2 linked regions of the Saccharomyces cerevisiae S288C genome follow. The protein of the gene in region 2 purifies or fractionates together with the protein of the main gene of each other region. This does not show direct contact. Each region holds a gene or a part of one and is shown on either strand. Other genes may lie near its edges.

Region 1 (4,116 bases), on a different chromosome or scaffold from region 2:
AGCATTTACTTTACTTCAACCAGTATTGTCTAAAGAGAACGAGTTTAGTATTAGTAAAAAAATTAAAAAAAGGAAGCGTACTTGAAACTCAAACACAAACGAGAGTACAAAGGGCATTGCTAGCTTAAAATATTTAACAATCAACTTCGTCTTTTGCCAGAAGACTACATTTTGTGCCATCGAGAAGTTAGTCCAGGAGTCAACACATTAATTAAACATGCCCGCTCGAGAATATAACTATGTAGAAGGTTTTGGTGGGTACGGCTCGTTGGACGATGATGATTCAGATAGAGATTCTGAACGCAGGAATCACGATCTAGGGCAGCGAACTATAACCACAAGTCCAACAGGAGTATCAAGACATGCTGCATTAAATAGGTACATGATCCCAGGCCGTATCAATCCTCTTTTCAGACCGACAGACGCTGCTCAACCTCCCATAGTGTCTACATCCACATCAGCATCGGCAACAGAACCGACCAACAGAATAGGCCCTGGAAGGATAAAAGAAACCCCTGAAACAAATTTCAATGCATTTCTTATAGCACAACTAACCAGAATGGAGGAGCAAAATGCCAATCTGAAGGAAGAAATCAGCCTAATGAAAAAGGAACAAGAACTCTTCTTTCTAGAGAATCAAAAGAAGTTGGAGAAAGGATTTAAAGACATCAATAAGTATGTTGAAGATGTTTCCGCAATGAAAGAAGTCTTCAAAGAGGTAGTTGGTATTATGACTGGGGAGAGAATAAGATTTATAGACCATACTGGGGAAAATGTTACTCCTCAGGAAGCTGCTCGTGTTGGAAATCCATCAACAAGTACGCAAGCTCATCAAAGTCAGTCAAGATCAACAAACTGGCAAGAATATAGTATGCACGCAAGCATATTAGCCGGCGATCCTCGTATCAAGCCTGAGCCAGGGCTGTCAGACTTTGAAAATGGGGAATACGATGGTAATGAAAGTGATGAGAACGCTACCACCAGGAACCTACCTTTAAATAACCCCGATTCTGTTAGCAATGCTGATGACAGTAATAACCAACTCGATGGAACAGGAAACGAGAATGATATCAGAAACAGAAGAGGGTGCGTTGGAACGTCATATAAACTAAATCGTGCAATCCAGAACGTTACAGATGCGGCCCGTGAATACTTTGAAGGCTTACCGGGCCAACCGTCAGTTCTTTCCCTTGAGAGGAGATATGGGTCCACTTGGAGGCGATCTGCCAAAGAAAGGACTTTGTTCACTAAAAGAATGACCATCATAAAAAGAATAATAGATATAAAAGATGATCCAAGCAAATATGGTTTGTCGCTACCTGAGAATAAAATAAGTAGAAACCAAGCCATCAAGGTTGTCGAAAATATAAGATTGGGAAACAATACCTTCAAAGGACATCATTGCCGATTATCAATGTCCCAGTTATACGAATACTTCTCCAAAAAAATGGACAAACTCGAAGACTATTCACTTACTCTAAAGAGAAGAGGGAAGCCAAGAAGAATTTTCTTGTTAGAAGAGAGAGAAGCTAGATTATCATTACAGCAGCCACATAGTATACCAAATTCCAGTACAGGCACACCAGAACATGATCAAGACACTTAGAGGAAATGGAACAACGAATTTCCAGCCAAAAATTCCGAGTAGTTCATGATGAAAGATTTTTACATGCATTTTATATATAAATATATACCGTCCTATATGGATTTCATGCCAACAGGGTATATAATAGACAATTACCGGTGTACTGATATATCAACTATCGACTCCAAGCCTTTTATCTATCAGTCAATTTTACATCAAGATCCCACTTTTAGATAGGTTCGAAAATTCAATCTAATATTAGTGATTTAATTAGATGGTGGATTGCTTACCCTTTTTTTTGTCGTTTTAGGAGGAGATTCTTCGGATTTTAGGGATAAACGGATACTCCATATATAAAAAACAAAACTTCAGGCATATTGATTATCTAAAAGGAATATTCTAAAACCATAGCCATAGTAATTTATCACCAACATGTCAAACGACGGCTCAAAAATATTGAATTATACCCCAGTGTCTAAAATAGATGAAATAGTTGAAATCTCAAGAAATTTCTTCTTTGAGAAACAATTGAAATTGTCCCACGAAAATAACCCAAGGAAAAAAGATCTAGAATTCAGGCAGTTGCAGTTGAAAAAACTCTATTATGCCGTCAAAGATCATGAGGAAGAACTGATCGATGCTATGTACAAGGACTTTCATCGGAACAAAATTGAATCGGTTCTGAATGAAACGACCAAACTTATGAACGATATACTTCACCTAATTGAGATTTTACCAAAATTGATCAAACCTCGGAGAGTATCTGATTCTTCTCCTCCATTTATGTTTGGTAAAACAATCGTGGAGAAAATATCAAGGGGCAGTGTCTTGATTATTGCTCCTTTCAATTTTCCCCTACTTTTAGCATTTGCCCCATTGGCAGCAGCTCTTGCTGCAGGTAACACCATTGTTCTGAAGCCAAGTGAACTAACACCACACACTGCTGTAGTTATGGAAAATTTGTTAACCACAGCTGGTTTCCCTGATGGATTGATTCAAGTAGTTCAGGGAGCTATAGATGAAACTACAAGACTACTAGATTGTGGAAAATTTGACCTAATATTCTACACAGGTTCTCCCCGTGTCGGATCAATAGTTGCTGAGAAAGCAGCAAAAAGTCTAACACCTTGTGTACTTGAACTTGGTGGTAAATCACCTACCTTTATTACAGAAAATTTCAAAGCAAGTAACATAAAAATTGCTTTGAAAAGGATTTTTTTTGGTGCTTTCGGAAATTCTGGCCAGATTTGTGTTTCACCAGATTATTTGTTAGTACATAAATCTATCTATCCAAAAGTCATTAAAGAGTGTGAATCAGTACTAAATGAATTTTATCCAAGCTTTGATGAACAAACAGATTTCACTCGTATGATTCATGAGCCTGCTTACAAAAAGGCCGTTGCAAGTATAAACTCAACTAACGGCTCCAAGATTGTGCCTTCAAAAATTTCTATCAATTCAGATACTGAGGATCTATGCCTTGTACCACCAACCATAGTTTATAACATTGGTTGGGATGATCCTTTGATGAAACAGGAAAACTTTGCTCCTGTATTGCCCATCATTGAGTACGAGGATCTTGATGAGACCATTAACAAGATAATAGAAGAACATGACACTCCATTGGTGCAATACATATTCTCTGATAGCCAAACTGAAATAAATCGTATCTTGACGCGCTTAAGATCTGGTGACTGTGTTGTCGGTGATACAGTGATTCATGTAGGAATTACCGACGCTCCATTTGGAGGGATCGGTACTTCAGGTTATGGTAACTATGGTGGATATTATGGATTCAATACCTTTAGTCATGAAAGAACAATTTTTAAACAACCATATTGGAATGATTTTACCCTTTTTATGAGATACCCTCCAAATAGCGCACAAAAGGAAAAGCTCGTCCGTTTTGCGATGGAAAGAAAACCTTGGTTTGACAGAAATGGCAATAACAAGTGGGGGTTACGCCAATATTTTTCATTATCTGCCGCCGTTATTTTAATTAGTACCATTTACGCTCATTGTTCTTCCTGAACGTAATGTTTAAGGTTAATTAATTATTTGATGTATAAGTAACCTTTCGTTTAAAAATTTCATATGGGCGATAATATATCAATATTTATTAATTACAATTTACTCTATTTGCTCGTATAGAGTATATACTCGCTAAATACATTTTGATTACCAATCATCTTCCTCTTCATCTTCGTTAGCCTCCTCGTCATCACTCTCTAATCTCATTTTATTGGCCCTAGCAGCAAGCGCATTCGCCAAACCATCACCCAAACTTGCTTGGGCTGCAGCTGGAATAACGTTTGCAGAGGTGTTATCATGTTGTACAGAATTCAGAACGGGTTTAGGAACATCCCTGTTTTGAGGAGGAGTAGGGATATTATTATTTCCGGAATGTGGTTTCATGTAAGCTGTTGGCACCCAACCTTCCTTAGAGCCATCCAGAAGTTTCCCGAGAGACCAACCGCTTGGTTCTTCTCTTGTAATGTAAATTACGTCTCCTTTCTTTAAAGGTAACTCAG
Region 2 (5,263 bases):
TGCTGAGACATTTGAAAAGCCATGAAAGGAAAAGAAACAAAGTCTTAAACACTACATAGAAACAATAGGAACGGAAAGCTTTATTGCAATGGAATTTTTAGAACTCATATTCAAAGGTAAGGCAAAACTATGTATAGACTCTAATAGAATGTTTTACGGACTTTAGAAGCAAGGGAATAAAACTAATTAAGCGCAAGTCACCTTCTTTGTTAGTGTTCTTCCCAGTTTTATATAACGGGAGTGCGTCTTCAAGTTTACTTGGACGCACAAAGACGTTTTTATGTTTATGTATTATTTCGTAAATATATGAGAGGCAAAGAAGATGGATGATGATATAATATGCAAGGGAAAATGCGTAGTTGAGGTATTGGGAAAGTTCCATGTGATCACTTGATGCAAGCCGTGCATTATTTATCAGCAGATCTATTTTCACTTTTCAATTTTTTTCAGGTTGACCCTTCAATATTTTTTTACCTCTTTTTCTAGATATATTTGCAGGGTACTCTCGATGTCCGCAGTTCGTCAAAATGATTATGATTGCCAGTAAGGCCAAGTGAATTTAACAAAGGTGAGGGAAGTATACCAAGTTGCTCGTTTCCTTGTTTCATAGTATTGACTTTCAAATTTTTTAATCGTTATTTCGCTAACATGGCAGAAGTACTGACCGTCCTCGAGCAGCCGAACTCAATTAAAGATTTTCTCAAGCAGGATTCAAATATTGCGTTTCTAGCTGGTGGAGTAGCTGGCGCGGTTTCCCGAACCGTTGTTTCACCTTTTGAGAGAGTTAAAATACTGCTGCAAGTTCAAAGTTCAACCACTTCTTATAACCGAGGTATCTTTAGCTCTATACGGCAGGTTTACCATGAGGAGGGAACCAAAGGTTTATTCAGAGGAAATGGTTTGAACTGCATAAGAATTTTTCCCTATAGTGCAGTCCAGTTTGTAGTATACGAAGCTTGTAAGAAAAAGTTATTCCATGTAAATGGCAATAATGGACAAGAACAACTAACGAACACCCAAAGACTATTCAGTGGTGCATTGTGTGGTGGTTGTAGTGTGGTGGCTACTTACCCGTTGGACTTGATCAAAACAAGACTATCGATTCAGACAGCAAATTTGAGCAGTTTAAACCGCTCAAAGGCAAAAAGTATATCAAAGCCTCCGGGGATCTGGCAATTACTAAGCGAAACTTACAGACTCGAAGGCGGTCTCAGGGGATTATATAGGGGTGTATGGCCAACGAGTCTTGGTGTTGTTCCATATGTAGCACTAAACTTTGCAGTTTACGAACAATTGAGAGAATTCGGTGTCAATTCCTCCGATGCTCAGCCTTCCTGGAAAAGTAACCTCTATAAATTAACAATTGGCGCCATAAGTGGAGGGGTTGCGCAAACAATCACTTATCCCTTTGATCTGCTAAGAAGAAGATTTCAAGTTCTCGCAATGGGCGGAAATGAACTGGGATTTAGATACACGAGTGTCTGGGATGCGCTCGTGACAATCGGCAGAGCAGAAGGCGTTAGCGGTTACTACAAAGGCTTAGCTGCAAACCTTTTTAAAGTTGTTCCTTCAACTGCAGTGAGTTGGCTAGTTTACGAAGTTGTATGTGATTCTGTAAGAAATTGGTGAGCTTGAGGTGACAGGCTTGGGTCAGCGAAAACCAAGTAATGACGCGATCCCTCCGCTGAAGAACGACATCCTGTATATAGCATTAACTTGTCTATTTTTCTTTATATCGGTCTTGCAGTATGGGCCAATCATATCGTACAAAGCGGGGGATTTCCCGTACTTTATGATGAGCATGAGAACAGACTTTAAAGGCATCGCCATCTCCTCAAAAGCAACTATAACTCTTCCCATACCAGTATAAGCTAACTTTGTTTTGAGACTTATTTAATTTTGGTAGTTTCCTGAACGACTTCTGACAATACTTTAAAAAAAGAAAAATATAGAAAAATGAGACCAGCACAGTTACTGTTGAATACAGCTGTATGTTAAGGGATATTTTCTTTTTATTGTGACAAACGGATAATCATGCGTTCATTCTGACTTGATGCTTTCTAAGAAAACAATTATGTTGATTATGAATGCTAACTACAAGATTATAGAGTATTATACTAACAAAAAACTAGAAAAAAACATCTGGTGGCTACAAAATACCCGTCGAATTAACACCGTTATTTCTCGCTGTTGGTGTAGCTTTATGCTCTGGGACATACTTCACATATAAGAAATTAAGAACTGACGAGACTTTGAGATTGACAGGTAACCCAGAATTATCTAGTTTAGATGAAGTCCTTGCCAAAGATAAGGATTAAAAACCATGTTGATGATTTGTTATATTAATATCTACACTTAAAACATTTTCAATAATTGTCGGGAACAAATCGAAATATTATTTATTCTTCAAATATGACAAAACTAATGTATATTATATACATGTCAACACCACCATGACTATATGTTTAATTGATGTATAATCATTCCATTTTTACACGTGCTCTTTCTTGGCAGCGGTTAAGGGAACCTGATGATAGACCATGCAATAAAAAAGAAAGCCCTGTAGGGGGCTCGAACCCCTAACCTTATGATTAAGAGTCATACGCGCTACCGATTGCGCCAACAAGGCTCTTTTGTTGAAATAAAAAACCGAAACATCTTTATCTAACGAATATTTGGAAGGTGAACCTAACGATAAAATACTACACTATTCATATTGACTGACTGTATCAACGACGTTTAACAGCGATTATCTGCTTATCTCAATATGTGGTTAGCGATTACTTGTTCAAGTCGTTGCTTTACGTTTCTTTTGCAGTTTGATTGTTGCCTTCTCGAGGACAAATCAGTTTCAATGACGATAGAGGTTAGCAAAATTACTATATTAGTGAATTAGTAACGGAGACAAAAAGATTTGTTTAACGGCTTCTTTGTAGTCATCCTGCTGTTGTTTTTGTATGTTTAAGCTTCTTCCTCCGATTAAGTTTTGTACATTTACTTCTGTAAGTTAAAGGGCTCTTTTCTCATTATATTTCAAATGCTAAATCATGCCATGAAAACTTCAAAAAAGCATCAAATGAAGGAAGACGCTGATGACATCGAGTGATGAAATTATTCATAAATCTGCATCAGAGTGTTATATCTACAGAAGCAGACATGCTACAAGAGTTCAAAGCACTTAATGGCATTTCTAATAGATTCTCAGCGCCCTTTTGAGTCTCTGCACTACCACTTAATTATCATACCGCAGAAGCGGCCTCTCGGCCTCCCTTCATGCTATAATCGCTAATGACGGAAATTATTATTGAGATTACTCTTGCGAGTGTTTTTTTTTTTTTTTTTTTTTTTTTTTCGTATGAAAAATTTTTCAAGCGCATCTTAGAGACTCATCTCATCTCTTAATTATTCAAACTTACTTCAGCTGTCTCGTAATATTCAAGCAAGTCTTCCTCAAGAATATTGACAAATAAACGTAGAATTACGCATTTGGTGAGATGAGCAAAGTGATTAAGCCGCCTGGCCAAGCCAGAACTGCTGATTTCCGTACCTTAGAACGTGAATCTAGGTTCATCAATCCACCTAAGGATAAATCAGCATTTCCACTATTACAGGAAGCTGTTCAACCTCATATTGGGTCTTTTAACGCATTAACAGAAGGTCCGGATGGAGGTTTGTTAAATCTTGGTGTTAAAGACATCGGTGAAAAAGTTATATTTGATGGAAAACCACTCAATTCTGAAGACGAAATATCCAACAGCGGATACCTCGGGAATAAGCTTTCTGTTAGTGTGGAACAAGTGTCTATTGCGAAGCCAATGTCTAACGATGGTGTTTCTTCTGCAGTAGAGAGAAAAGTTTACCCAAGTGAGTCAAGACAAAGGCTTACTTCTTACAGAGGTAAATTACTTTTAAAGTTGAAGTGGTCCGTGAACAATGGCGAGGAGAACTTATTTGAAGTAAGAGATTGTGGTGGTCTACCAGTTATGCTACAGAGTAACAGATGTCACTTGAACAAGATGTCACCATATGAACTGGTACAACACAAGGAAGAATCCGATGAAATAGGTGGTTATTTCATTGTTAACGGTATAGAAAAGCTTATTAGAATGCTGATTGTGCAACGTAGAAATCATCCTATGGCTATCATCAGACCTTCCTTCGCTAACAGGGGTGCATCCTATTCTCATTACGGTATTCAAATTAGATCTGTCAGGCCGGATCAAACTTCCCAAACTAATGTTTTGCATTACTTAAATGACGGTCAAGTTACATTTAGATTTTCTTGGAGAAAAAATGAATATTTAGTTCCTGTTGTTATGATTTTAAAAGCCTTGTGTCATACCAGCGATAGGGAAATTTTTGATGGTATTATTGGTAATGACGTTAAGGATTCCTTTTTGACCGATCGTTTAGAATTACTGTTACGTGGTTTTAAGAAAAGATATCCTCATTTACAAAATCGCACACAAGTCTTGCAATATTTAGGAGACAAATTTCGTGTTGTCTTTCAAGCTTCCCCTGATCAATCTGATTTAGAAGTCGGACAAGAAGTCCTTGATCGCATCGTTCTCGTGCATTTGGGTAAGGATGGCAGCCAGGATAAATTCAGAATGTTATTGTTCATGATCAGAAAGTTGTATTCCTTGGTTGCAGGCGAATGTTCTCCAGATAACCCAGATGCTACGCAACATCAAGAAGTTCTTTTGGGTGGTTTCTTATATGGTATGATCCTAAAAGAAAAGATTGATGAGTACTTACAGAATATTATTGCTCAAGTCAGGATGGATATTAACCGTGGTATGGCCATTAATTTCAAAGACAAAAGGTACATGTCAAGAGTTTTAATGAGGGTTAATGAAAACATTGGTTCCAAAATGCAATACTTTTTATCAACTGGTAACCTGGTGTCCCAGTCTGGGTTAGATTTACAACAAGTTTCTGGTTATACTGTGGTTGCAGAAAAAATTAACTTCTACCGTTTTATCTCTCATTTTAGAATGGTTCATAGAGGCTCCTTTTTTGCGCAATTGAAAACTACCACAGTCAGAAAGTTGCTACCTGAGTCGTGGGGATTCCTGTGCCCTGTTCATACACCAGATGGTTCTCCTTGTGGTTTATTAAACCATTTTGCGCACAAGTGTCGTATATCAACTCAGCAATCTGACGTCTCAAGAATTCCTTCTATATTATACTCACTTGGTGTTGCTCCGGCATCTCACACCTTTGCTGCTGGTCCTTCTCTGTGTTGTGTTCAAATTGATGG

The links.
Region 1: the proteins of MRA1 (region 2) and HFD1 purify together in Saccharomyces cerevisiae (affinity purification with mass spectrometry; 2 studies listed by BioGRID, with this or other methods). This does not show direct contact.

What each region holds. Positions count from the first base shown.
Region 1 is NC_001145.3:489,894-494,009, reverse strand, and holds HFD1 (hexadecenal dehydrogenase), read left to right. Parts: upstream 1-2,017; coding exon 2,018-3,616; downstream 3,617-4,116. Other genes in the region: EUC1 (Euc1p), read left to right, coding at 218-1,606; MYO5 (myosin 5), read right to left, coding at 3,764-4,116. UniProt on the Saccharomyces cerevisiae protein: Catalyzes the oxidation of long-chain aliphatic aldehydes to fatty acids. Responsible for conversion of the sphingosine 1-phosphate (S1P) degradation product hexadecenal to hexadecenoic acid.
Region 2 is NC_001148.4:579,428-584,690, reverse strand, and holds MRA1 (Mra1p), read left to right. Parts: upstream 1-1,956; coding exon 1,957-1,989; intron 1,990-2,132; coding exon 2,133-2,318; downstream 2,319-5,263. Other genes in the region: CMR3 (Cmr3p), read left to right, coding at 1-59; MRX21 (Mrx21p), read left to right, coding at 649-1,629; DNA-directed RNA polymerase I core subunit RPA135, read left to right, coding at 3,495-5,263.